Linked DNA regions of Neurospora crassa OR74A. The protein of the gene in region 1 purifies or fractionates together with the protein of each later gene. This does not show direct contact. Links are inferred from orthologs where the notes say so. Each region holds a gene or a part of one and is shown on either strand. Other genes may lie near its edges.

Evidence for each region. The genes of interacting proteins can lie anywhere in the genome.
Region 2: the proteins of NCU00444 (region 1) and NCU05120 purify together in Saccharomyces cerevisiae (affinity purification with mass spectrometry; 6 studies listed by BioGRID). This does not show direct contact. The link is inferred for Neurospora crassa OR74A from reciprocal best matches to the Saccharomyces cerevisiae genes TAF14 and RPB2.

What each region holds. Positions count from the first base shown.
Region 1 is NC_026503.1:3,880,134-3,884,481, reverse strand, and holds the start of NCU00444 (transcription initiation factor TFIID subunit 14), read right to left. Parts: upstream 2,893-4,348; 5' UTR 2,062-2,892; coding exon 2,050-2,061; intron 1,868-2,049; coding exon 1,684-1,867; intron 1,593-1,683; coding exon 1,200-1,592; intron 1,128-1,199; coding exon 1,060-1,127; intron 987-1,059; coding exon 963-986; 3' UTR 1-962. Other genes in the region: NCU00443 (ran-specific GTPase-activating protein 1), read right to left, coding at 3,919-4,175, 4,243-4,348. UniProt on the Saccharomyces cerevisiae protein: Functions as a component of the DNA-binding general transcription factor complex TFIID, the RNA polymerase II associated general transcription factor complex TFIIF, and the chromatin-remodeling complex SWI/SNF.
Region 2 is NC_026506.1:3,688,479-3,691,350, reverse strand, and holds the end of NCU05120 (DNA-dependent RNA polymerase II RPB140), read right to left. Parts: coding exon 1,198-2,872; intron 1,140-1,197; coding exon 977-1,139; 3' UTR 525-976; downstream 1-524. Other genes in the region: NCU05119 (hypothetical protein), read left to right, coding at 1-29.

The sequences.
Region 1 (4,348 bases):
ACAAAAACTTGCATTATATAACCGCCGCCGATAATATCGCCTACCGCAGTAGCTCCGGATATAAGCCAAGAGCTCATGCCTGAAAAAGATGGCTATCTGGCAGGGTGCTGGCAGATCTATAGCGCTCTAGTCCAGGCACAGGAGACACGGAGACTAAGGCGAACGGACAGTTACTGCTGCTCCATACCCTGAACTGTGTAAACTAAACCATACAGCATGTTCTCTGCTTCTAATACCGCCATACGACGAGCAACGTAGAGAGACCGTGATCGAGAACTAGGTACCGCCTACAACATAACCGCTTCTCTTTCCCTTCCGAATTCCATGGGCGTGGGATCTATTACATACCTCCTTTCTACCTCTTACCCATCCTTTCCCGAACCTTTCTTTCCAATAAACAGTCTCAAATTTCCCTATGACGATCCTACCTAGAGGGGCAAACCTTGCACATGATAAGGTTCAAGGTCCGCCCAAAGCACAAACTGATTAGCGATGCCACTCCCTTCCAGTGAAGAGCAGTCCTCACGAGCAGACACCACCAATCAAGGCAACGATCCCACCGGCAGAAAGGAAACGGTTCAACGGAACACACCCTAGACCATCGAATATCACGCAAAGAAAGAAATCTGGAAGATCAAATCAAGCACAAATTTTGTCAAGAGAAGCTCTTGAATCTTTCTCAATTTTTGCTTTTTGCGTATCCCACCATAACTCCATAAACGCCACGGTAATGCAGGAGCCGAAGAAGCCTAAGGCTACAATGGCATGATGGTGAAGGTGGTTGATGTTGATGTGGATGGAAGTGTCAAGGGATCAATAATAGTGAATAAAGAGGGTGGTGGTGTACTGGGTATGGTATGGTGCGCACTGCGATCTAGTAAGGAAGAATGTTCCCGTCCCTGATGACTTCGTAAATCGATGGCCATCGACTACTGTAGGTTACTTGGACCAAGGAAGTCGTACTATGAGACTACGTTGGCTTTGACCTGTGGTAATATTAGCGATTTAGCTACAGAAGGATCCGATTGAGGGGGCAAAAGAATGGGAAGAACAACTTACCAAGAACTCCCAGAGCATCTTCATGAGGTTGTCAGGAAGAGTGTAGAGATCCACCGAGAACTCGCCCGCTATAGACATGTCCAGTCAGCCATCAGCTCGTGTTGCCTCCAGGGGCCACACTCCCTAGCGGGCAAACTTACCATCGAGGTTGTTCTGGATGTACGTATTGTCATCCTTGTGATCGTGGATCATCTGAATGACCTGCAGGAGGTCATCCTCGCCCAGCTTCGTCAAGCCATCCGCCATACGCTCGATGTCGTAGGGCCGCTTCTTCTTGGAACCGCCGTCCACCGCCTTCTTCTGCTTGCGCTCCTCGTCCGAGGGCAAGGGACCCGTCTCTCTCAGGAGCTGCTGGAGCGCCTGAGATGGGTTACGGAAGGTGACGGTATGGATGTTTTCGTACTCTGATTGCTGGAAGTTCAGGTCGTGCGCGATCGAGATCTTGCCGCCTTTCTCGGTGGTGTACATATCGATGATCATCTCAAATTCACCCCAGCCCTCGTTGGTGCATTTGAAGGGAGGATCGTTGAAAGCTGAATTTGCGACGCGTTAGCCAACCTCTGGCTCTCGAGACACAACAGAGATGGGGAGAGGTGACCGGCGGCCGCTCCGGTGTCTACTTACTCTGGATAGGGTTCGCGAACGAAGGGTGAAGGTTGTAGGTCACCTTCGTGAAGCACCTGGCGGGCCTCTCCTTGCCATCTTGGTCGAGAATATAGAGCTCGACCGTCCACTCCTTCATGGGGTAGCCCTCCTGTGCCGCCGGCTTGTTGATATTGTGTTGTTCTGTGACAACCTTGATCTTGCGCTGTAGACAAATAAACCCACGTTAGCCGTCGAATCCATTTCCCGAACAACAGCTATCCCGGAACGTTCTCCTCCTAGGGCCTTTCCTTTCCCTGCCTCTGCACCTGTTCTGTATGCCGCTACAGTGGTCACCCTGTTTGCGCAAGCTACCAACCACACTGGACTGGGAATCCGGAAACTAACCTCGACGATCATCTTGTTTGCGCCTGGAACCCGCTTCGGATTCCTTCTAGTAGCTTTGGTTCGAGTATTCTTACTAGCACTACTGGGAACGTCCGACCGATCCTCAAGGCCCTCTGCTTCCCAGAAATTGGATGGATTCCCGCGGTTAGCTTTGTGTACTTCTCTTCACTTGCTCGTGTCCTAGTACTCGAACAGCACTCTTTTGACAATCGGCGTTCGGTCGGTGTCTCGAGTACAGGACAGTAGTAAGACAGTGGCGTTCGGGCTCTTGAGGAAGAGCAAGGATTCGAGGATGTACGACGTTGTTGTATCCGTTGGGCTGTCTGGCAATGGGCTCTATAGTGTTTGGTGTGTTGTATGTGTTGGTGTGTCGCAGATTCCGTCGCGCTGCTAGAGTTGGGCTTTGTAGCGGTAGAGAATAAGGTCGTCCGTTACGGAGGGGTAAAGGTACCGCGGCGGGCCGTGGCGTGCGGTTGGGAACCAGGGATAATGATGGGGATAACGTAGCTCTAAGGTGTATAGCGTACAAATTGGGATAGGCAAAAGTTGGATGGGAACGCGATCGTGATCGTGAAGAGGGGCTAAGGTTAAGAGCGTGTCTCCTCTCTGATGGCCTTGGGTTGAAAAATGCTCAAGGGAGTGTTCAAGCAAGGCAATGTGGGAAGGTTTTTACTGAGTTATGGTGCTGATGCGACTTGGATGGTTGGGAATTTGGGTCACTGTGCAATATATGTACACTCCGATGAAGTTGGTTCAAGCGGGACATACCTTCGTCATTCGCGAACGGAGGCGTCGCGGCGCCGCCATAGTCAAAACCGTAACCATGGCTGAAGTCGACCATTGTCCCGTCGCTAGCACTCAGTGAGGTACCGCTGTGCGTGCTGTGGCTGGTGCGCTGTGATGCAGTGAGCGTCAGCTCGCTTTGCCGGCATTCCTCTACCCCTCACCGTGGATGTAAGCAAGGTGAGCTCACCTAGGTGAACGAAGATATCACCACTCTAATCGAAATATCGCGATGATCGAGAAAGCAGAAGTCTTGGAAAGAAGTTGTCAAAGACGACGGTGATGCTGAAGTAGACCCTGAAATCTTGAAGTAAATTGCTCCAAGATGTGATTTTGCGTCGTCGGGAGAAGAGTAGTGAGAGACCGCTGGCGAAGAAGAGGATCGTCGTCAGCTCGCCGTAAGGTAGTCAAGAAGAGAAGAAACCTCCAAAACCGCAAAACAACCAGATTTTTTATACGGTCGTCGCCAGACCGCGTCACGGACGACTTGGCAAACGGAATTCAGTATTTGTGTTTCTTTCAAGACAGGCTCAGGTTTCCGTCAGCTAGCCAGTCCATCAGATTCGTCTCATGTTTTGGTGGACCATCGTGCTAAGCCGTCAGCCAGGTATGACGAGGCGAGGTTGTGTGTACAAGAACTTGATCAAAAACCCCCAAAGGCAATGCATCGGTGTGAAGGGTAGTGAGTTGTTCTATCTAAAACTGTTGGTTAAGCTAAAGGTTATTTAGATCCCTTAAGAGTAATCCCCATCCTCATCCTCCTTGCCAGCCATAGTTGCAAAAGGGCCGTCGCAGTATGTTACCAGTATATTGAAATCTCGTCAAACGCACACCTGAATAGTGCTTTCATGTCGGATACTTCAACCTTTTGTTCTCGCACACGCTGCCCATGTACCAGCTCTCTAGCCTAGGAATCATCATCGTCATAACTTCTGTAGCGGTCCTTTCATTCATTCCATCGCCCAGCCCATGGAGGTAGTAATGTCATCGTCCCCTCTAACACCTAGCAAAACGGAAAATAGAACGGGGTGGTTGAAAAACTTTCCCTAAAGCAACTTCAAATTCATGCAAAACTAGACCACACATCTACTCGGCCTTCTCGTCCTCGGAATCCTCCTCAGCCTCCTTCTTCTCGGCGGCCTCCTCGGCAGCCTTGAAGAGAGCCTCGTTGTCCTTCTGGGCCTTGATAAAGGCATCCTTGAAAGCGTTGGCGTTGTCGGAGTTGGCAAAGCGGATCGCGAGGGTGACGGCCTCGGGCTCACCCTCGGAAACATCGGCAGCGGCGTTCCACACCCAGCTGCGGTCGGAACCAACGTTGGGGGAAAGCTTCATCTCAGGAACGACTAGTAGAATCGTATGGTTAGCAAGCTTCATTCAAGAACAGCTTCAATAGAGTAGGGTGTTGCTTACTGTAGTGGTTGGCGCAGACCTTGAGGGTCTTGTCGCGGCGCATGACGAGACGGGTCTTGCCATTCTCGTGGTGCTTGAGGAGACGGACGTCACCGGTACCGCGCTC
Region 2 (2,872 bases), on another chromosome or scaffold:
GGACAGGGACAGGGACGGGGGAGAAATGAGGAGGAGGTGTGGTAGCTGAGAGGGAAAAAAGAAAGAGATAAAGAGGAGGGACTGGCTATACCGATGGTCCGCTCGTTGACTACGAGCTAGAGAGGGGAGGAGGTTCCGACCCAGCGGACCCAAAGTGAGGACAGCGAGGTACACCTGGGCTACCTATAGAGAGTCAAGAAGACGAGCAGAAACGCCGCCTTCTTTCCTAGCTAGCGAGCGGTGCCTTTTCCGAAGGCCAAGAGGTACGCTTGTCGGCGTACGGATAGCCAGATGGTGCGGCTGCCCTCATGGCTTTATCTGGTAGACCGACGTGCTCAATATGTCGGTCTTGACTGTTTACGGGGATGAGCTTGGCGGCTTCCTTCAGGGTGGAAGTCTGCGGCTGGAATCCTTGAGGGACAGCAGTCATAAACTGTATAACACTTGTATTATTACGTCTCTGCTTGGAAGCAGACTGGCATCTTGTACTTATTATTGTATTGGACATTCATAAGGAATTGTTTCGAGGGTACTTGATGTGTATGTGCCTCCAATGTCAAGTTTGCGAACACACCAGGATAGTGATATTTTTTGATAAATGTATAGTAAGTAGTAACTTTGCGCGTGAAAACTGAGCCACTCCCTCTTCCCTCGCAAATGCGCACAGAGACAGCCTGGATAACTTTGCGAAACTTGCTTGCAAATTGCAATCTTCAATCATTGAACGCCAGAACGACCATTTCTATGCAACTTTTTGTCTCTCTCATTGTCGTCCTTCTTGATTCCTCATTCCTTCCGTCTCCTTTGGATCCCACAGCACATCTACCAGCCCCAGCATGTAAAGAAAGAACCGCTTCTCTTTTGCCAGTGCCTATAAATGCCATGCCATGTACAAGGACCATGATAAGAAAAAACCGTGATATTATAACCGAGCCTTTCCGCACCAACCAACCCCCCGGGGAACCCACGACTACCCTTAACGAACCGAGATGCCGGACCGGCTGGTGAACAAGCGCGAGGCAATGTTCATCGACATGAGCTCCTGGAACAGAAGCTTGGCCGCGTAGGGCATGTGGACCTGGGCGATCTTGGTCTTGTTCTTGCAAGGACGGCATTCGAACGATTGCTTGGTGAGGTTTCTGCAGACGAACTGTTAGCATCACACGGACCCATCAAAAGGGAAGAGGAGGTACATACGCAATGGGAGTCATGAGACCGCAAATCTCGCAAATGTGCACTCTAAAAGCATCCGAAACCTCGAACAATCTCTCCTTCAAGAAGGCAGCGGCACCGTGAGCAATCATACAGTCACGTTCCATTTCACCGAAACGGAGACCACCGTCTCTGGCACGACCTTCGACGGGCTGACGAGTCATGATCTGCACCGGACCACGAGCACGAGCGTGGATCTTGTCGTCCACCATATGCCTCAAACGCTGGTAGTACGTAGGACCGAAGAACACCTGGGCGCGAAGCTTCTTGCCGGTATGGCCGTGGTACATGATTTCAAAGCCACGGGATTGGTAGCCGTGCTCGCGGAGGAGGTTGGAGACGGAATCGACCGTGACATCCGTGAAGGGGGTGGCATCACCCTCCATGCCCTTGAGCGCACCGACCTTGGACAGCAGACACTCGATCAAATGGGCAATTGTCATACGCGAAGGAATGGCGTGAGGGTTGATGATAATATCAGGCGTGATACCCTCGGCGGTAAACGGCATATCCTCTTGACGGTAAGTAACACCAATGGTACCCTTTTGACCGTGACGAGACGCAAACTTATCACCAATCTGGGGAATCTTTGTCGTACGAACCCTGACCTTTACGTAGCGCAAACCATCCTGGTTGGTTGTAAAGGCCACGGAATCGACGATACCACTCTCCGTGCTGCGCAGCGGCGTGGACGCGTCGCGCTTGACGTGCTGAGCCGTGCGCTGGCCAAGTTCTTGGTTATCGGGGTTGATGGGAGATGTCTTGCCGATGATGATGTCGTCACCGGTGACTCTTATGCCAGGAGCAATGATACCATCATTCTCAAGCTTGTCGTACGTGCCGTGCTTGGGCCGCAGGGTGTTGCTTCTATCTGGCTTCTCAAATTGCTCCACGATGTTGATGCCGACACGCTTCTCGCAATCCGTGTAGGAACGGAAGAAAAGACTGCGGAAGATACCACGGTCGATACTGCTCTGGTTCATAATGACGGAATCTTCCTGGTTGTAACCAGAGTAACAAGCGATGGCAACAATGGCGTTCTGACCGGCAGGAAGCTCACGGAACTTGAGATATTCCATAGAGCGGGTGGTCGCCAGTGGTTTTTGAGGGTAGTAAAGAATGTTGGCCATGGTATCCATACGTCGGGAGTAGTTGGTAAGGAAGAAGCCCATAGCTTGCTTACCCATGGCAGACTGGTAAGTGTTTCTGGGCGACTGGTTGTGATCGGGGAAAGGAATGATACTGGCGCAGATACCGAGAAGCATACTGGGGTGAATCTCGCAGTGCGTGTACATGTGTGTTGTCGGGTTGAATTTTGTCTTGATACGGCTATTGCCACGGTTGGCGGCGTCGTCCTCAAACTCGCGACCCTTGAACTTGTGCTGACGGTAAGTGTCCAGATCTTCTGGCGTCATGCAGATCATGGCCGTCTCTTCCTCCTCGGCGTCGAGGTATTCGATAGCACCTGACTCGAGCAGGCCTTGCCAGCCAAAGTAATCCTCATGGTATTTGCCAAGCTCCTTATCCTGCTCAAGGCGCCTGATATGCTCCTTGGTAAGGATGAGCTGACCCTTTTCGACACCGGATTCGCTGTTGTCTTCTTGCTCGACAACAAACAACGGCCTCATGACTCTACCGGCATCCGAGAAAATCTTGAACT